Regions from separate parts of the Mus musculus genome. Here all the other regions are reported to be linked to region 5. Evidence: microRNA targets listed by miRTarBase, many of them from high-throughput screens and not tested one by one. Region 5 holds a microRNA gene; each other region holds the end of a gene's coding sequence.

The links. Region 5 holds the annotated microRNA mmu-miR-410-3p (AAUAUAACACAGAUGGCCUGU, at 3,140-3,160, shown strand). A microRNA usually pairs through its seed, bases 2 to 8, with sites in the 3' UTR of a target mRNA and lowers its output. Matches are read on the target gene's strand: a 7mer-m8 pairs with bases 2 to 8, a 7mer-A1 pairs with bases 2 to 7 and ends in A, and an 8mer does both.
Region 1: the mRNA of Grhl3 is a reported target of mmu-miR-410-3p. Seed matches in the 3' UTR shown: 7mer-A1 at 918-924.
Region 2: the mRNA of Nf2 is a reported target of mmu-miR-410-3p. The part of its 3' UTR that is shown has no 7-base or 8-base seed match.
Region 3: the mRNA of Erlec1 is a reported target of mmu-miR-410-3p. The part of its 3' UTR that is shown has no 7-base or 8-base seed match.
Region 4: the mRNA of Zc3hav1l is a reported target of mmu-miR-410-3p. Seed matches in the 3' UTR shown: 7mer-m8 at 2,800-2,806.

Annotation. Positions count from the first base shown.
Region 1 is chr4:135,538,990-135,542,989 of GRCm38, reverse strand. It overlaps Grhl3 (grainyhead like transcription factor 3), which reads left to right. Exons shown (of 16, transcript NM_001013756.2): 16 at 217-1,102. The coding sequence ends at 331. Among named protein-coding and RNA genes, the nearest start is that of Gm30888, 33 kb to the left of the region's middle.
Region 2 is chr11:4,777,210-4,781,209 of GRCm38, forward strand. It overlaps Nf2 (neurofibromin 2), which reads right to left. Exons shown (of 17, transcript NM_001252250.1): 16 at 3,369-3,413. The coding sequence ends at 3,378. Among named protein-coding and RNA genes, the nearest start is that of Cabp7, 32 kb to the left of the region's middle.
Region 3 is chr11:30,928,377-30,932,376 of GRCm38, forward strand. It overlaps Erlec1 (endoplasmic reticulum lectin 1), which reads right to left. Exons shown (of 14, transcript NM_025745.3): 14 at 1,408-3,472. The coding sequence ends at 3,401. Among named protein-coding and RNA genes, the nearest start is that of Erlec1, 24 kb to the right of the region's middle.
Region 4 is chr6:38,289,312-38,293,311 of GRCm38, forward strand. Zc3hav1l (zinc finger CCCH-type, antiviral 1-like) reads right to left here. Exons shown (of 4, transcript NM_172467.3): 4 at 1-3,826. The coding sequence ends at 3,711. Among named protein-coding and RNA genes, the nearest start is that of Zc3hav1l, 7.9 kb to the right of the region's middle.
Region 5 is chr12:109,740,625-109,744,803 of GRCm38, forward strand. It overlaps Mir410 (microRNA 410), which reads left to right and starts at 3,091; the gene lies at 3,091-3,171. It overlaps Mirg (miRNA containing gene), which reads left to right. Exons shown (of 8, transcript NR_028265.1): 3 at 1,066-1,191; 4 at 1,438-1,666; 5 at 2,733-2,794; 6 at 3,042-3,223. Mir541 (microRNA 541) reads left to right here and starts at 1,785; the gene lies at 1,785-1,874. It overlaps Mir409 (microRNA 409), which reads left to right and starts at 2,534; the gene lies at 2,534-2,612. It also overlaps Mir412 and Mir369.

The sequences.
Region 1 (4,000 bases), not on the chromosome of region 5:
AAGCCATCCACCAGCAGGCACCAGCATGGCATGGCTGGCAGGCTGGGTTCCGAGCTGAAACTTGACCACTGGAATTCCTCATCTTACAGCCTGGTCTTGAGGGTCACAGAAAGCTACAGAAGTGGCCTGTAGCATTGCTATCAAGCTTGTTGCTCAGAGGGTCATGACAGCTGGCCTGGACGCATAGTAACCATGTCTCCCTCCTCTCTCTTCCAGCATCCTGGTTAACATGGACAACAACATCATCCAACACTACAGCAACCACGTGGCCTTCCTGCTGGACATGGGTGAGCTGGACGGCAAGATCCAGATCATCCTGAAGGAGCTATGAGGGCCCGGCCTCAAGCGTCCCACACCCGGGGCCCGGCTCAAGCCACGTACAACCTCTTCTGTGTCAGCTGTTACTTGAAATGCCTTTCTTTGGGAAAGAGGTCTCGCAAGCAACCAACTCGGTGATGTCCAAGCCAGGGAGAGACCAAGAAGGTTCCAGGATCTAAATGTCCCACCCAGGCTCGAACTCACTCCAGAGCTTCCTGAAAGCACCCAGCCCACCGGAGAGTCTGAGCAACACAGACCCAACTGCCTGCTTTCTCTTCTAAGTCCCGCTGCAGAGGCCCTTACAGGGGACGGGGGTCACACCACCTTCTCTGCAGGGCTACACCCGCTGTCTCGATCGGTTCTGACGTTCACTGTTTCCTTTCTACCAACTTCAGACCAGAGAGTTCTCACACTTTGGCCAAATAACTTGAAAACTCGTGACTTTCACAGCAGATGCCTTTGTGAGGCCCTTGGAGAGGAAACTTTCTTATTGACTTCCTCGGCACAAGATGTAAGTCACCATCATCGAGCTGACAGGAACAAATACCCTTGCCACCTACTGTTGTACACATTTCTTATTTACAGTTTTCATTATGTGATTATATATATATATATGTAAGTATATATTATGTACATATATGCAACATTTTGTATGTCCATGTTACATTTTTATCATTTCAAAAATATGTATTTCATATTTCTTGAACTATTTTTTTAGCTGTTATTCGATTATGCATTTTGTATATCATAGGGTTTAGTAATAAAAGCCTACCCATGCACACTTCCCCGGTTTTCATGCGCTTCTTCCTTCTGTGAGACTCCAGTGAGTCTCAAAGACCCAGAAGAGAGGCTCCGGTTGGAGAGGCCCTTCCTCTTTCTCCCTTCACTGTGGCTTGTCCCAAGGGCTTCATGTCCTGTACATGAAGGCTGACAATGGGCATGGCATATTTACCCTGCCAGGCCATAGAATCCACATGTGGTCTCACAAGAGTCATGACGAGGCTCCTCCATGCAGAGAGCAAGGCCCGGGAAGATTCACCACCTCTGTGACAAGTCCCTCAAAGCTAGGCCAGTGGACAGAGCCCAAAGCTGGGACCCATGCCACCAAGACCTGGGCCAACTCTGCCCCTACTTCTCAGGCTAACACTTTCTCTGGATTCAACTCGAACTGCTACCCAAAGGCAGCTACACATCACTTCCCAACTGTACAGCAGTAACATCAGATTGGTAACTTGTAGAGTCATGTGCCAGTGTCTAGGCCTCTGGGGCAGGGGGTAACTTCAAACTAAGTCTTATATCCTCTCCTAGAACAGCCTTCCTGACTCCCTCCCTCCCCCCTCCCTTCCTTCTTTTCTTCCTTTCCACAGTTGTATCTACTCCACTTCCTTACCAATAAAATGTAGTGTGGTCCTCACTGGCCTCCGTGTCCCTCAGAGCCTTGGGCTCTCCATCGAGTCTCAAAGATCCAGGCTGTGGGAGGGGTCAGCAGCCCTGCCTTTTGTCCCAGAAGCTCTGCTTCCCATGAATTGGGATTTCTTCTGACTAAACAAGACTTTTTACAGTTTTATGCGTATGGGTGTTTTGCCTGAATGTGTGTCTTTGTTACACGTTTGTATACTTTTGTTTCTTGGTTTGTTTTTAAAGTTTAAGAACCAAGATACTTTTTTTTTTGTTTGTTTGTTTGTTTGTTTTGGCTTTCCAAGACAGGGTTTCTCTGTGTAGCCCTGGCTGTCCTGGAACTCACTTTGTAGACCAGGCTGGCCTCGACCTCAGAAATCCACCTGCCTCTGCCTCCTGAGTGTTGGGATTAAAGGCGTGTGCCACCACGCCTGGCTCCAAGATACATTTTTTAAGAACTCCCAATTCCAACAGAATCCATGGTCAAATACCACAATCGGCACTGGGAGGCAGGCTACCCACGGGAGGAGCTGGCCTCAGGCGGCGACAAGGACAGGATGCCAAAGGACTCAGCACTGCACTTAGGGAATAGTTTAACACACTGGGGAGATAGTTACTGTTTCGTTTTTATTATTAGATAGGGTCTCTCTGTGTGGTTCAAGCTCATCTTAAACTCATTATCCATAGCACTAGGAGGGTGAGCGCACACAACCAATCCCAATCTGAGACCCTTTGAACATTAAGGCCGAAGATCCACAATGAACAAAATCTCGAGTCTAAAGACAGACTCTGCATGACTAATGCTTCCTCGTGCTTCATCATGGTTGCTGTGACCTGCTCAAGGGACACTGCAGCACCAGGGTTGCATCTCCCAGTCATGCCTCCCTGCTGCTGGGACACCACACTATGCATCAGAGCAGAGTCACACGTGAAGGTGACGTGACAGGAGAACAAAGCAGCTGACAGTGCCAGGCACATCCACGACTCCTAACGTCCTGTAACCGTTTCTGTAACCCAGAGCAACGAGGAAATCCCGGCAGGCCAAGGGGCTGCTGCTAGCCTCACTGGTGTATTGGAATTATCTGGCAGCCTCTACCCTGCCCTTGCCTCTAAATTAGCGTCCTGGATGAAGGCCCAGGCAATGGCACGTTTTGAAGTTCCCTAGGTGATCATAGTGTGTAATCAATGCTGAGGGGCACTGTTCCAAAGAGGCACTGATGCCGTTGGGTCTCTGTGGCTTCCACCTGCACACAGCAGGCTCGGCAGCTTTGGAACACACCTGCTGTGGGGCATAGGACGTGTACTGGAAGCTTCTGCATTCTGTATTACGCCTCCAGCAAGACACCAAAACAGAGCTGAGGGGACAAAAGTCACTTGGTCCCCAAGGACAGCACTCTAACCAGCTTTGAAAAGATTGTCTCTCCTCTTCAAGAAAGTCAGGGGAGGTCAGCTTGCCAATGGCAAGAATAATTCACTCCCTGAAATGAGAAGCCGGGAAGAACAGGAGTTTCTATAGCTTTCACTCTCAGAGGGCAGCTGTTGCCAGTGGGCAGAACACTACCTGTCTGCAGGTAACTGGAGACAGGAGCTGTTGCAGAGGCCATGGAGGGATGCTGCTTACTGGCTTGCTCTCCACGGTTTGCTCGACTTGCTCTCTTATAGAACTCAGGACAACCAGCCCAGGGATGGCAGCACCCACACTGGGCTGGACCTTCTCACATCAATCACAAATTATGAAAATGCCCTGCAGGCTTGCCCACGGCCTGACTTTTTTTTTTTTTTTTTAATGCAGGCATTTCCTCAGTTGAGGTCCCTATCTCTCAAATGCCTTTTGCCTGGGTCAAGTTAGCCAGCACAGGAGAAGTGTGGGGAGAAAGGAATGAGGAGCGGGAAGTGGGGGAGGGGGGAATTACCAAAGAGTCGGATGAACACGTGAAAGACGCAAGCCGAAGAACCGAGTGTGTATCAGACCCAGCACGGCTCGCTAAGCTTGCAGCATTGACTTCACATGGGGCATGTGTAAGAGCAGTCTCTCTGGCCCCGCCCCAGATCCATGACGTCTGTATTCTAACCCAATACCCATGGGATTTGCCTGTGCATTATTTGGGAAGCACTTTGAGAGCAGAGCTGTGCATCCCAGTTCTGCCGAGCTGTATCCCAATGTATCCCACACAGGACTTCATAGGTCAGCCTGCGGCTGCATGGCTGTAATCCCAGCACTCGGGATGTTAAGGCAAGAGGATCTGGAGTTCCAGGACAGTTGGACTACAGAGGGAGGCCTTGT
Region 2 (4,000 bases), not on the chromosome of region 5:
CTCAACATACCTAATGCTCACCACCAGTTGTAGGCTTAAAGCCATGTAGCACAACCCATGATTCCTCCTTCCTCCCTCATCACTGGTCCACAAGCGGATGCTGCTTTTCATGTCGTCAAACCCTCACTGTGCACTAAGTGTCTCCCGTGACTTCCTTCATTTACCCTCACAACAATCCTGGGGGTGGGAGAGAGGAGAAGAGGGAGGAGGGAGGTGGAGGACTTGAGACAGGGTCTCACTGTATAGTCCTAGCCAAGTCCTGACACTTGCTCTGGCACTGTGCGTGGCAGAATGTTACGTTTCTGATACCTGTTCGGCTGGGATCTAATGCACGGCCTCGTGCATGCTAGCAAGCACTCTTGCACTGTCCCCTTTCCTTATCCTGCTCTGTTACTGATGCTGTCCTTGAACTTGTGATCCTCTTGCCTCAGTAGACGTTGGTTTATAGGTGTGAGCCATTACCAGGCTTGATTTATCCATGATTAATTCTTTACAGGTAAGAGTTCTCATTCCTACCCTGCCCATCCACCCCCAGAGATCTGCCTGCCCTTGCCTCTGGGGTGCTGGGTTTAAAGGTGTGTGCCATCACCACCTAGCTAAGAATTTTGTCTCCTAAGAAAGCAAAAAAATCAAAGGCTGGAGAGATGTCTTAGTGCTTAAGAATACTGGTTGGAGGCCGGGCGTGGTGGCGCATGCCTTTAATCCCAGCTCTTGGGAGGCAGAGGCAGTCGGATTTCTGAGTTCGAGGCCAGCCTGGTCTACAAAGTGAGGTCCAGGACAGCCAGGGCTATACCGAGAAACCCTGTCTCGAATAACCAAAAATAAATAAATAAATAAAATAAAATAAAATAAAATACTGGTTGGTTTTCCAGAAGACCAGGGTTCAATTCCCAGCACCCATATGGTGGCTCACAACCATCTGTAACTCTAATTCCAGAGAATCTGGCATTAGGAGGTGTGGCCTTGTTGGAGGAAGTGTGTCACCAGGGGTGGGCATTTAGAGTTTTAAATGCTCAAGCCAGGCCCAGTGCTGTCTTCTGAAATGTACATCTCTCAGCTACATCTCCAGCACCACGTCTGCCTGTGTACCACCATGCTTCCTGCTACAATGATTATGAACTAAACTAAACCTCTGAAAGTAAGCCAGTGAATGCTTCCTATGAGTTGCCATGGTCATGGAGTCTCTTCACAGCAAGAGAAACCCTCTCTAAGAATCTCTCATCCCCAATGTCAAAATGGAGCTCCTCCCTTGACCAATAGGTACACACACTTCCAAAGCCAGAAGGGACACTTTTCTGCTAGGCTAGCAATGGTTCAGACAGTAGTGGAAATGACTTGAGAGCCACCTCTACACAGGAAGGTGACCATCAGTTATGAGCACTGGCCACTAGCCATAGAGACTGCCACTACCTAAGTAAATGAAACATTCCTCAGACAGCAAAATCCACCAGTATTTAGTTTAAAATTGCTGAGAGGAACTTGCATCATATTGAAAGACAAGTTCTTGCTTTTAGTAACCTTGGTTATCAGAATTCTTGGTTATCAGGGTTTCTCTGTATAGCCCTGGCTGTCCTCGAACTCAGAAACCAGCCTGCCTCTGCCTCCCGAGTGCTGGGATTAAAGGCGTGCGCCACCACGCCCGGCTGGTTATCAGAATTCTTAATTAAATACAGCCTAGCAATCTGTTTTGAAAACAACAGGCACATTAAGGCATTCACCTGAGTGAATGAATGAATGAACTAACAAACAAACAAACGTTTCCAAATACAGTCACTCGCTACTTGATGATTGGGCCATGCAGTGAGAGGTGTGTTGGTAGATGATCTTATCACTAAGGGAAAATCATAGACCAAGATGGCTGTGATGCCACTGGGTAATACAAACGTACAGACCCAGCACTGTGTACTCAATCTGTCATTGGGCACTTGGCATGATGAGGCTATAGGTCTAGAAACAATACAAAGATGACTAAAAAGGAAACCTCTCTTGTTTATAACAACTCAGTGAGAACTGATGATCAAACTTAGGACCCTGAAGAATACAAATATTCTATATCACACAACAAAAGATGAACCCACATTCTAATGAAATTGCCTAATTATACGCAGGGAGCATCTGATGCACCAGGTAAGATATAGCAAGGTTTTCCGAGTGCCCTGCACTGACCAGAGTGCACGAAGCACCACAGATCCACTTGGGTTACCATGTGGGCAGAGATTCAACTTTCCAATATCCTGTTTAGAGCACACACTGCATGATGTCAGGGTAGCAGAACCAAAGTGGGCATGAGGCTGAAAAAAGAAGTGCATTCACTCAGGCAGGCTCAAATGACAGTCTCGGGTTCGTGGGGCCTCTGTGCACTCTCAGTTACCTGATGCACCTGGGACGTCACAGCTGACCTCCTTTGTGGACAATGAGCAAACGGAAACGTCCAGGTTCCGAGTTTCTTTACCTGACTGCAGTGAGGACGCTAAGGACATAGCCTATTTCTCTGTCAGAAGTGTCAGAGGCATGCTGACATGGGTATGACTGGGGATCAAGCAGTAATGGAAGGACGGTAACATTTAAATATTAGGCATGATAATCCTGTATTGCCTGGGCATATTGAAAGAATAATCTGTAATGCTTTAATTAGTTGACTCAACACAAATGCTGCTAACTCATCTCCTGGGTGTCTGCAATGGGACAGTTGCAGATGAGCTTGTCCATGCACAGCTCCTTCCATGCGGTAGGGGGACAGAAGCCAAAGTGGCCTTTAGAGCAGCCATGGGACAGCCAACTCACTGCAACTGGCTTAAAGATGCACCAGTGTTCTGTTTGCTGCCCTAGGAAAGAAAAGGGGTGTGCAGAGAACAGAAGGCTTGAGGAAAAAATGAGAATGAGTGGCCCACACCCAGAAGCTACCAGCTGTGATAAGTTTGCAGAGCGTACCACTACAGGAGAGGAGTGATCTTGAACAAGAGACATCAGTCTTAAAAGCATCAGAACTGATTCCCACTTCCATGCTAGAGGTATCTATCAAAGGAGTATACCACCAAGAAGAAAAAGGACTTAGATTTGACTGGAAAGGGAGCCATGACTTTCCCCAACCCAACCAGTGACATAAGGGAAACCAAGCAACTGGTCCTGCATCCCCACAGCATGCTCTTCAGAGTGAGGCAGTCTTCTAGGCCCGGGAGGCTGGTCTGGGCCCCCCCAGGGTGGACAGCTGCTCTCACCCTCAAAGCATGCTGTGGCCAGGCCCCAGGCTTCCCTGCCCTCAGGAGGGCTCTGCGTGGCCCGAGGACAGAGACAGGCAAGCTCATGCACGGGTTAGTACCACAGACGAAGGACCAGCACCACAGACAGAATACCTGGGAATAACCTACTTTGAGGACTCAAATGCAGATAGGTCTTCTGCCTTGGGCTTGAGGCTAAATGAGCAAAATAAAATGAAAAAACAAAGACATACCCTGTGAAATCAAAATGCCACATGTGCCATTTGCAAAATGCTCAGAAATAGAGACAGTGACCTCAGGTGTACTGTGAAACAGTTTGAACAGTGGCCTCTCTGGTTTTCAGCTGAGAGCCCAGTTCTCCACAGCAGCAGTGGCCAGGAGACTGCTCAGGATGCCAGGTGATAAGGAGGCAGGATGAGGGGGCTGACTGGTTCACTAGCCCAATCACGTTTTAGCTTAAGAGCCTCCTCTTTACCCCCACCTCCCCCGCCCACTTTATGAGACAGGGTCTTATATAACACAGGCTGGACATGAATTTTTGTTGCAGTCCAAAATGACCTTTAATCCTCCTGCCTCCTCCTCCTGAGTTCTGTGGGTCACCACGCCTGGTTTTAAACTCCCCTCTGACATTTAATCATTTTGTTTGAAACAAGAAACCCAGAAGACAACAGGAGCCAGAGGGAGAGGGTGTGGAGTGCGGTGATGCCTTCTCTACTTGGTGTCCACTGTGAAGTGCTAAGCAGAAGTAGGCTCCCAACTACACATCAGAGGAGACTCAGGCT
Region 3 (4,000 bases), not on the chromosome of region 5:
TACATGTCAGAATTGGATAGCAATAAACTCACAAGTGCTTTAGTTTCCAGGTAAGCAGATGGAGCTGTCACTCCCAGGGCTATTAAAGGTGTCCTCCTCTAACTGGGTCCAAATTAGGTTGCCACATCTCTTCCTCAGTTTAGGAAGTTCAGTAAGTTCTTGCTGAATTTCTTGATACAATTTTAACATACATAGTTGTGTGTGATATTAATTTGACAAAATTATAGTGTTTTTACTTTATCAGTTGTGCCTTGTCAGTGATGCCAGATGGATTGTGTTGTTTGCAAAGTACAGAGTCACCCATCTGTCTTTGTTTCTGTCTACTCAAATGCTGCTTGTAAAATGGAGTCTCAGAGTTGAGGCACAGCCTGAAAAACCAAGATTAACAGAATATAGCTTGCTTTCAACATCTATGCTGAAAAATCACAACCCCTAGACAGTCTCCAAATGAGGCCATTTACCAGAAGGACCAAATGATTGTCAAGGCTGGAACTTCAATCCCATCCGGTGATCCCTCTCCTGCTCCCTCTCCCCCCCCCCCCCTTCTGTGTGTGTGTGTGTGTGTGTGTGTGTGTGTGTGTGTGTGTGTGTGTATTAGGGAAGGGTGGGTTTCACGCTCCATATAAACTTTTGAATTCTTGAGATCTGGAGAGTATAGAAACTGAACTCTAGCCCAACCTCCTCGCCTTATTTACCTCTTTAATTTGACTTTATTAGTGCTTCTCTCCTTTATAACTGTTAAACTAAGTATTTACCAGAGTTCTGTGAGCCATTCTAGCAAACTTTTGAGAAAAAGTAGTAGGTCTGGAGACTGATTTATAGCTGTCTGGTAAAAGGTATTAGAATCCAGGGACTTCATAGATGGTTCGGTGTTTAAAAACACTTGCTCATCTTTCAAAGGACCTGAGTTTAGTTCCCAGCACCCACTTTGGGTAGCTCCCAACTTCCTGTAACTATGTGGTGCACATATAGGCAAATAGGCATGCATACACACACACACACACACACACACACACACACACACACACACACACACACACACACACACACACACGTATATAAAATTAGAACTTGGTACTTGCAATATTTGTAGCTGACATCTGATGTGGAGCAACTTTGTAAGGTTGAATCCTTTTTACCTGTGACATATGATGCTAAGTCCAAGTAGGTAAGCATGAGAACTAAAATTAATTGTAGGGTACCCAAAGGTGCTGAGTATAGTTGGTGTAGAATAAAAAAGTTTACATATTTTTTGTTATATAGGCCATTCTATGCTATGTAGGAATAACTGATTACTTAGTATGTAGACCAGGCTGGTTTCAAACTCACAGTAACCCTACCTGCCTCTGCTTTCTCAAGTGGGCATAAAAGGTATGCCCAGCTTGCTTTTTTTTTTTTTTTTTTTTTAAGAAAGTGTCTCATCTCATTCACTCTTTCTAGATTAGCCTAGAATTCACAGTGTATGGCAAATCAGATTGGTCTCAAATTCATGGCAATACTTCTTTGTTTTCCAAGTTCTGGGGTTAAGACACTATGTTGAGTCATTTACTTTTTTCTTTTCTTCATTTCTTGTGCTGTGCTGGAAATGGAATCCAGGATCTTGTGTTTGCTAAGCAGTCTGCCAATGAGCTGCATCTCCAGTCTCCAGCCAGATTCTTTCACCTCCTAGACTTACCTTACTGCTGTGATCCCTAAATACAGCTCCTCATGTTGTGGTGACCTCAACCATAAAACTTTTTGTTGCTACTTCTAACTGTAGTTTTGCTACTGTTATGAATCATAATGTAAATATGTTTTCTGATGGACTTAGGTGACACCCCTCCCCCATGAAAAGGTCATTTAACCCCTAAAGGGGCCATTACCCACAGGTTTTAAACCACTGTCCTAGACTGCTTTACCACTAAACCCCCCGCCCTAGCAATAAAGGCATTGAATTAATTAAATCAATTGTAGGATACCCAAAAGTGCTGAATGTACTTGGTGTAGAATAAAAAAGTTCACATATTAATTAATTATTAACTAATTAATTAATTTCTAAGACAAGGTCTCCTGCAGCCCAGGCTGGCTTCAAACTCACTATGTAGCAGACTTTGAACTTCTGATTCTTCTAGTATCTACTTCTCAAGTGCTGGCATTACATTAATTAATTAATTAATTAATTAATGCCATGCCATTAGGCCTGGTCATAAACCCTTTCTTAATATAGCTTTTATCAGAAATACTGGTTTTCAGGAGTATCTGGACCACCTTTTATTTTGACTGTTTAAGATAGGCTTTCAACTTTGTTGCCCTGGTTGGTGCAGAACTGGCTATCCTTGGCGTAGACCAGGCTATCTTTGAACTTTCTGATCCCCTGAATCTGTCTACTTAGTGCTGGGAACAAAAGCATGAACCCCAATATCCAACTTTTTATTTTTGTTGTGGGAGACTGAACTGAGGGCCTCAAACATGCTCTGCCTCTAAAGTATTCTCTCAGTCCCTATGGCCACTTTTTTGTCCTTGTTCAGATTCATATGGATAAAATATATGCAAAAAGGATAAAGGAGAAAATAAAGTAACTGAATAATCTGCCACTAATTACATGAAAAGACTGCTTAATAACATTTTATTCTCTTTAAAATAAATATTGTGCTGTAAAGCTGTCCAGAACTAAGATTTATACTATACAGCAGGCACGTACGAGAGCCAGCACAGTGAATTTTAGAATGAACCATTCTAATGTAGAGATGAGTCACGAACTGTCTGCACTAGACATGTACTCTGTAGTAAACTCATTCATGGTAAGAATCATAAAAGTTCAAGAAAAAGAGCAACCTCTCATTTAAAAAAAAAAAAAACCAGTTTCTTGAGTGATCTCAGGTTATCTGTGAGGCTCTCCTCTATTTCCACTTCTAGTTTAGTGCTTGACAGCGAGCAACTGTCACAGAAACATTTGCTGAAAGGATTTCAGGCACTAGAATTTTATACATTTTATGTGGCCCCTCATTTTATACAATCTTCTAGAAACTTCTTTCTAAATTATCTTTACTTCATTAGCTTGTCATATGTGCTGTAATTTATTCAGTAAGTATATTATTTAAAATACTTTAACAAGTACAAGGTATATGACATTTGATAAGCTGGACTAAACTGCTTGGATCAGATTTGTTTTGAAATTACATTACCCAAGCAAAGCCAAACGCAATCAGTTCATACAAGACCAAAATGAATGAAGTGAGACAAGGATCTGCCTTACAAGTTTATCTGTAATCTCTTATATACACGTGAATTTCACAGTGTGGTTGCCAGTCCTTTTTGTGATACTACAGACAAGGTCCAATGGTGAGACTCTATAAAGAGATGTGGTCAGGAGAAAGTGATGATTTTCAATCATCTTTCTTTCTTTCAACTTTAATATCTTTTAATTGGGGAGAGAAAGAAGTCCATTTTCATCAGCTGTATCTAGAATTTTACAGATTACTGGAGATTCAACCTGAAGAATAATAATATTAGAAAGTTGGTAAGGTGAACATTTCCTCAGTATCTTCTCAAAGAATATATTTGCTAAATATGTAAGATCCTGGTTTGGATAAACCTCCCAACATTTTCCCTACAGATTAGGCTCTTTTCTCTCTCTCCCCAGCCTCCTTCCATTTTTTCTTTTGAGATTGTGTCATGCTATGTATTCCTCCCTGACTAGCCTTGAACTTCTCTTTTGGCAATCCTGAGTGCCAATTTTCATGAAGCCTAACATAAATAATAAAGCTTTCTGAAAAACAAGTTTAGTCACCCATATAAAAGCATTATAGCTGAAAATATTTTTATTTCTCAGTAAATATGGTAAAGGAGACAGAAAGAACAGGAATATAGAAGTTTGTAACTAGAGTTACATCACTAAAACAGGAAAACACTATGGCAAAACTATCAGTTCTATTTATAAGGCAAAGTAAACACTAACTTAAAGGATGAATTATTTGTTATAATATTGTGAAAAAACAAAACAACAAAAGAAAAAAACCAA
Region 4 (4,000 bases), not on the chromosome of region 5:
CACCACTGTTGGGACAGCTTGCCACAGCCCTTCTTCCTTACCCCCATTTACCTGTTGCTCTGCCCCTGTGCATCCTAACGTAGGATGCTTGCCCTGCGTGATGGAGGCCGATGAAAATTTCGGCAGGAGAAACAGAACTGCAATATCCTTAGGTTTGCTTCCAAAAGATCAGGCAGCTGGAATGGAGGCAGGGAGAAGAGGAGAGAGCCTGGTGTGTCCCACACCTGTGACCCTAGCACTTAAGGAGCAGCAGGATTACAAGTCTAAAGCCACCTCCCACATATGGAAGGCGAGAACTGACAACAGGGAGGCGACCTCTGACCTCCACATATACATCACCGAACCACACACATCACTACATCCGTAAGCCTAAACACAACACGTATAGTAAATAAGTAAAACGTAAACACAACACGTATAGTAAATAAGTAAAACGTATTTAAAAGCAGGGAAACACAAGCCACTTTAGAGGCAGATGTGGTAGCATCACCGACACCCCCACCTCATGGGAGATAGAGGCCAGGGGATAAGGAGTTCAAACCCAGCCTGAGCTACATAGTGAGTTCGAGACTAGCCCGGGCTGCATGAGACCGTGTCAACAAATAAATGAGAGAGAGTAAATGAAATCTTCAAAGGCCAACTATATCAATATTTAAATGCGGCTACCATGGCTACCATGGGTATAAGAGCCTACCCAGCACCTCATACCAAAAAACAAAAACAAAACAAACAAAAAAACTCAACAATTAACCTGGACATCATTGAGTAATGTGCCTATGAAATACATAAGAGAAGTGTGCACAAAGGCAGTGACAGTTTTGTGTGTGTGTATACCAAGGCAGGGAGAGGTGGGGGTGTGCACCAGGGCAGTGTCTGAAGGTGGAGAGAGGTAAGGAAAACTGACCCTTTAGAAGGTTTCTGAGGGGGAAAGAACTTCCAACACTTGGAAACAGATTTGCCATGGAATGAGGAAAAGATAATAAGGACAATCAATAACTTGTTGTCTTAAGTCAAATGACTGGATAATGGTCTCAGAATGAGGTGGGGGGAGGGCTGGAGGAAACCGGTTGCGATTCCTGAGAGTCCTCAGAGAATTCTCGTGTTAGAGCTAGAGAAGTTTGTGCAGTAAAGTGACAAGGCTCCACTTGAACTATCGGTTGGGGGCGTGATCATGAAGCCTAGTTCGCTCATTACACAAGGGGGGGGGAGGGCTCAGGACCTCTCCACCCCGGGAGTCATTTCCCTGTGTGCTGTGGAACTAATTTGAAAAGTAAAGTCCAAGGAAACACTGCTCTGTTTCTGAGACATGAAGAAATGAAAACACAAGACAAAGCAAAGAGCTGCGCATTCTCTGGCCCACGCACCGCGAGAGAGTGCCCAAGGTCAGCCATCACCCACTAGTGTAAACTGACCCCAAGTTAGCTCCCCAGCGAGCAGGCTCCAAACACCCCCATCCTTCCTTTCTACGAAGGTTTGTGAATAAAATCACCCTCTTCCCTCAGTACCACATCTCTTAACTTTATCTGCCCAGCATGGGGTGAGCAGCCAGACTCGATCTGGTAACACTTACATAACATAATTTGAGTGCTGAGAATACAGCTCAGAGGTAGAGCACACTTGCCTAGTGCTCATGAGCCACAGGCCCATTCCCAGTATCATATACACAAAAAGATAATTTTGTAGACTAAATTCCCAAAAGAACTAAAACTTAAAATGAAATACTATGGACTTGAATAAAATGTTGCAACAATGGTTACAGACCAGGAACATCATATCTGAGAGCATGCTGGTGAGACACATGAGAAAGCAATACTATAAGAGCTACCACTGTAAGAGCTACCACGTCTATTGATGGAAAGAGAACACACTGAGCCACCCCATCCCATCAAGGATTTAAGATGGCTTACAGCAAAATACATATAGGAAAATGACAGAGTGTAAATAGTAATAATAATTAAATGCAATTTCTTTTGAGGCAGGGTCTCACTGTGCAGCTCTGACTAGCCTGGAACTCACTCTGTACATCAGGCAGTCTTGAACTCACAGATCTGCTTGCCTCTGCCTCTGGAGTGCTGGGATTAAAGGCCTGCACCACTGGGACTGGACTAAAATTTTACTTTAAAGTTTAGTCCAGGACTTAGATGTACCTTGCTGGTGGAGGACTTTGTTTCACATGGGCAAGGCCCTTGGTTTGATCCCAATGCATAAACACACACACAAACACACACACAAACACACACACACACACACACACACACACAAATACCACTAGGAAAAAAATGTCACAACTTGAATTTTAAAAGAAAGAAAAGAATATAAAACACAATCTCAGAAGTACTGTTACTGACAACTGAAGTGAGAAGCCCTAAGTCCGCGAGCTTACTGTCCACTAAGAGGAAACTGGTTTGGAAAGGACACTTTTACATCCCTCCTCTCCTTTGATCCATTGGTATCATGATAAAAGTTTCTCCAAATAAGGTAAGTTTGGCTTTATGAAAACTTACTAAATTGCTCCTATTTCTCAAATGTCACGTTATGGAAAGAAACACAAATCTTTTTACACAGTTACATTGGGGAACATGACCACAACAAATATCAGCAAAGCACACACTGAAAACAACAGGATGAGTGGGTACAGAGAGGCTGGAGGAAGGGAGGAGGGAAGGGAGGAGGGAAGAGGGAGGACGGAGGAGAGAGAGGGAGAAGGAGAGGAGGGGAGAGGGAGGAGGGAGGGAGAGACCACGAAATGGGCAAGGTATATATGGATTCCTGATGGTCTGTCCCATCCACACCGGGGAGATATAACTGGAAGGAGTGAACCACACATCCTTCAGGATAGAGCAGCTGAGCTCTGATAGGCTCGATAGAGGATGAGAGAGGGGTGGGGTGAGGTAGAAACCTCCGAGCAGAGTCCAGAGATCATTAGCTGGGTTGCTGACTGAGGATGGACCCAGAAACTTGAATATTATGAACACAGTATTGATGACAGCACAGAGGGCCCAAGCCACAAAATGCAACATGGGAAATTCACAAAATCAAGCAAGAGACACAGAAAGCAGGGACAGAGGTTATCCACACAGACAGTTAAAGAAATATGTATCAGAAAACAGTATTGTTTAGCACCTACAAGCCAAGCAAAGGTACAAATTGGCTTTTAAATTCAATACTGCACAGATACAAAATGAGATATTCAAACACTGTTAGGAGTATGAAATATTACAGAATAAGGGAGGTGATTACACTTATATTAACAATTCTTTGCAAAAAAGGAACTAAGTATAAGCCCAAGTAACAAACAATACAGAGTTCACAAACTGTGATGTCCATAACATAAGCTATGTAAATGGAGTCTAGAAAACACCAGCGGGACCTAGCAGACAGCAGAAGAAACCTGCCCTCCATTGAGGCTCGAAGGCATTCAGGGGCTGCAGAGAGAGACTACAGCTTCAGGATTCACCCTGGATTACGTGCTCAGAATTTACCCTCTCTTGGCTGGCTCCAGGTCCAACCTCAGCCCTCAGCCGCAAGTGTATTTTCGTTTCCACCCTGGGTCCTGGCGATCAGTTAGTTGTGAGGTAGGTATTACAGTTGCCAATGATACTAAGTGAGGGAGAGAAAGACCGGCTAAAAACTGCAGCTCAGCAAAAGTCTTGCTTCTGATCCTCCAAGATGGACAGGGGCTTCTCACTTCCTCCGAAGCTCGTTCAGGTTTATTGGGGCTTCCTGGGCGACTGAGCACGGGCAGGGAGGAAAGGCCTGGCTTCCACAGCCCCGAGGGCTCCTTGTTTCCCAAGGCCTTGTGGTTGCTCAGTAGAAGCCGAGTGGTCTGAAAGGAAGAAGAGAGATGAGCTTTCTGTTTTAATTCTACGTTGTTGGAAGCAACATGGGAGGGAATGGGGTAGAATGGGGGGGGGGGAGTAAATAAATTAAAACAAGCAGTCGGAAAGACTAAGAGCAACTTGAGGAGATGTTTCTGATATTAAATTAGTGAACAAAGATA
Region 5 (4,179 bases):
CTGGGGTCTCTGCAAATGTCATGTGCTAGAATGGAAGGTGTGGATATGGGGATGGTCAGGAAGGGGTGTGGCTCAGAACGCCACGTGACCAGACATGTAGTCCCAGGAACCAATGGAGAGATGCCAATATCTACTCCCTGACTCTTCTCAGCCTGAATCCTCTTTGTCACACCAGCACCTAGCCCCCCTAGTTGCAGACACACTCGCTGTTCTATCTCTACTCTGAAGATACCTTGACAAAATGAACTCTGTCCTTTGACAGTGTCAAGGACAATGGCAGCCTTCCCTCCCCACCCCCTTCCTCTCCTCAACTCACTGGGTCAGGAGTGCTCACATACCATCTGTTTTTCCCCCCTCCCACCCCACCCCCTCAACACACCTCTGTCTGTTTCTCTTTCGTCCTCATCGCTCACCAAACCTTGTTCTCCATTTTTGGATGGGTTAGGAAATGAATAGAGGCGACCAGCATTTCATCCCGTTTACATTAAATAATAGTGATAAAATAATCACAAAATAACACCACAAACTACCAGAATAGCTTGGAGGAAAATGTGTTCAATTGACTACAAATTGGCAGAAGAATCCAATTTTCTTGACAACATTTGAGCTGCGACATTTGACCTGGGGAAACAGTACTCTGTAGACATGGCAGCCGCAAGGGGCAGCTTCAGTAGTGGCGGATGCTATGAGCAGTAATATTTGTGGTAGATGAACGCACATTGAGGAATCAAATCTTCGTTCAGATTTTTAAATGGGAAAGAATTGATCCTAATGAAAATGATTTGAGGAAATAACAAGGGAAATAAAAGAAATGAAAATGGCCCAACAGCACAGTCAAGGAAGCTAAACAGGGAATTGGATTAGTTTAATGGAATTTACTTTAAAAAAAAAAAAAGGAAAGAAATGCATGTTTTTTTATGAAAATCAATGTGGGTGTGGTGTTTGAGATGGGGAAATCTATGGATATAGACTAGAGCTAGTGGGGTGATAAGAAGGACTGGTCACCATGTGGGTTTTTTTTTTTAATGTGGCTAAACTTTATTTTCCCATCCCAAACCTTTACAGAGAGCTTCATGGAGTATTCAGAAGCTGGCGGGTGTCACCTGGAGGATGTGACTGGGTACCAGTGCCAGAGCACGTGCCCACTGAGCAGTCTTCTTCACTTTCCTCGATCCTCATGAAACATTCCGGGTAAGACACTGGTTCTGGGGAGTCTGCTCTTGCCGAGCAGTTGGTACCTGGAACATTCTAGGGCCTGCCCTTCCTTGGGTTTCCATGTTGCCAGCTCCCAGGGCTAGGCTTAAAGACGTACCCATTGTTGGTGCTGAAGGGCTAGGCCCGTACGGGAGGTCATTTTAGAGTGGATGTATCCAGGGTCTAATATACTATCTGGGGTGTGATGAGCACCAGGTTTCATGGTGGCTCTCTTTCCAAAAGGATCTTTACCTCAAAGGACTCCAGAGGCTACATCATTGTCTTGGAACTGGTCAGTGGCTGGAGCTCTCTCCAGGACAAGTGCTTGGAGGAAGAACCTGGACAAGCTTCCCTCCCCATACTGTTGACTGGATCTTGTAGCTACCGTTAGCCACCATCATCGCCATTGTGTGCCTCTTAGGAGCATTTCCAGGAGGTGATGCCAGCTGGGGAAAGAGCCTCTGTCCCACAGGTCAGTTTCCAGAACACCTACATGAAGCTGCCCGTGGCGTCTTTTCCCCGTATGACACACTGCATGTGACCAGTCTCTTGCTGCCCTGCAGCAAGGCTAGAAGCCTGTGTGAACTCTTGCCAAAATCAGAGAAGGGATTCTGATGTTGGTCACACTCCAAGAGTTTTAAAATGAGTGGCGAACACAGAATCCATACTCTGCTTATGGCCTAAGTCAATGGATCCTGACCCTTACTGGAGAGCCCTCCCTGGCGTGCTCGTGCGGGGCAGCCATACACACTGGCACAAGGGGACCCTGCGGGATCTCCTTCCGCTGTTCTTTCTCTCCTCCCTCCATGTTTATCTTTGAAGCATTACTTGCTTGGTTTATAGGACTGGATGGTCAAGCAGTTCTTGCTATGACATCACCGTGGGGGGAGGGGGCAGGTGACAGGGCGGGGATGCCAGGGTCGTGGGGCTGCAGTGGTTGGGTGGGCCCAAGGAGGAGCATCTCTGGATGATGCAGTCATTGCCTCCTCGCTTCTGGAAGGCATCGTCTCTGGGAGGGTGGTGTGGTATATGCGCAGGGTCTCAGCATCTCCCTATCTCCAGCTTACAAAGGAGAGATAGAGTAAGCAGAGTTCTGCACCCACTTCTGCCCCGAGTCAGCTCCTCGCTACCTGGGTCTCAAGGTTGTCTGGGAAGGCTTTAGATATTCTTGGAAGGTGAAAGGGTGGTAGATTGCACTGGGGAGGTGATGGAATAATTGCTTTCACGTGGTGGAGGGTGGCTCCTCACTGAATGGGGAGTTATAATCTCTGAGGGGCTCCAGGATGGTTCTTCTGGAAACTCAGCCATCGGCCTCGTTCTGAGCATCCGAGCCTCTCCGTGGTACTCGGAGAGAGGTTACCCGAGCAACTTTGCATCTGGAGGACGAATGTTGCTCGGTGAACCCCTTTTCGGTATCAAATCCCTCCAGGGAGGCCACCTCAGGGAAGACCATGGACTCATCTCGCTCTGGGGTATGGGACGGATGGTCGACCAGCTGGAAAGTAATTGTTTCTAATGTACTTCACCTGGTCCACTAGCCGTCGGTGCCCGCTGCAGCCTGCGCCCAGGATGTCACAGCCTCAGCTCAACACCTCTGCTGGTACTTGAAGGGAGATCGACCGTGTTATATTCGCTTGGCTGACTTCGAATAATACATGGTTGATCTTTTCTCAGTATCAACGCTCAGCTTGGAGAAGCTCTTGGAGTTGCAGCCCCTGTGGGGGTGGGGACAGCATGGTGCTTCTAGGTTGCTGCCTCCGCGGGGAACTGGGCTGGGTGGAACAGGCTGTGTGCTGCCTGTGTCAACCCTACTCACCATTTATATGCAATCCCCCCCTTCCCCCCAGGACAGCTTCAGGTGGTGATTCCAGCTCCAGGGTTGCTGCGGTCAACACTGGGTACTTGAGGAGAGGTTGTCTGTGATGAGTTCGCTTTATTAATGACGAATATAACACAGATGGCCTGTTTTCAATACCACCTGCCACTCCGGTCACTCGGCAGTACATACCAGGTGTCACACCACTGCCCGGTAGGTAAATGCATGGACTCTGTATGACGCTTGTCACCCCCTCTTCACTGAACCTCAGCTCTGAGGAGCCTCCTGGGATCGCACCAACCTTGTAGGCTGGGCCACGAAGCATTGGCCAGATGTGCAATGGATGGCTGTCCACTTTCCATGCCTCTTTCCCGCCACAACAATGGGTGTTTGTCCCTGTCTAAGGCTTCCACCGAGGGCTGCATGCTCAAATGCCCTGTACCCTGGGTGCTTCTCAATACCATGAGGGCTTGGAGGGGCTAGCATGATACTTAGGGAAGAGCCAGGCCAGTTGGTTACACGTGCAGTTCCTAGTATCTGAGGTGAGATTGCCCGTGACGGGTTTCCATTCTTAATGCTGGTACAGTGCATGGTCACCTCTCTTTATCATTGGCTCTTACTGTGTGAGCATGGGTGTCAGGGGAGGGACACACTTTGCTGACCCACTGGACACCACTGATGGTCAGGCATGTAGCTGACTCATCCTGACCCAGAGCCTCACATCTCCTGAGGTGGGGGTTGGGAAGTCCAGAAGGGCATCTTAGAGGAAGAAGCATCCTAAGTAGAGTCCGTGCTGGTGGTACCTGAGCTAGCTTGTCTCTGAGACGTTTGTTTTCTATCTGATGACTATCCCACAGCCTACTTCTCTGCACCATGTCCTACCCTAGACCATTTCTACTTTGAGGCATTGATGCCAAGAACTGAAGCCTTTGTGTTGGTTGACTCTCTAGTCTGTATGTGAGACCATCCCTTGGCCTGTCTTGTCCTCAGTGCCACCCTGTTGGAAATAGCACAGAATGTCCTCCTGAGTCTACAAGGCAGTGATACCCAAGCTCTGTCCCTGCTTCACGAGCACAGGGGGCCCAGTAGGGATTAGCCTGCACTTCTTTTTTTTTTTTTTTTTTTTTATTTTTTTTTTTTTTTTCATTTTTTTTTTATTAGGTATTTAG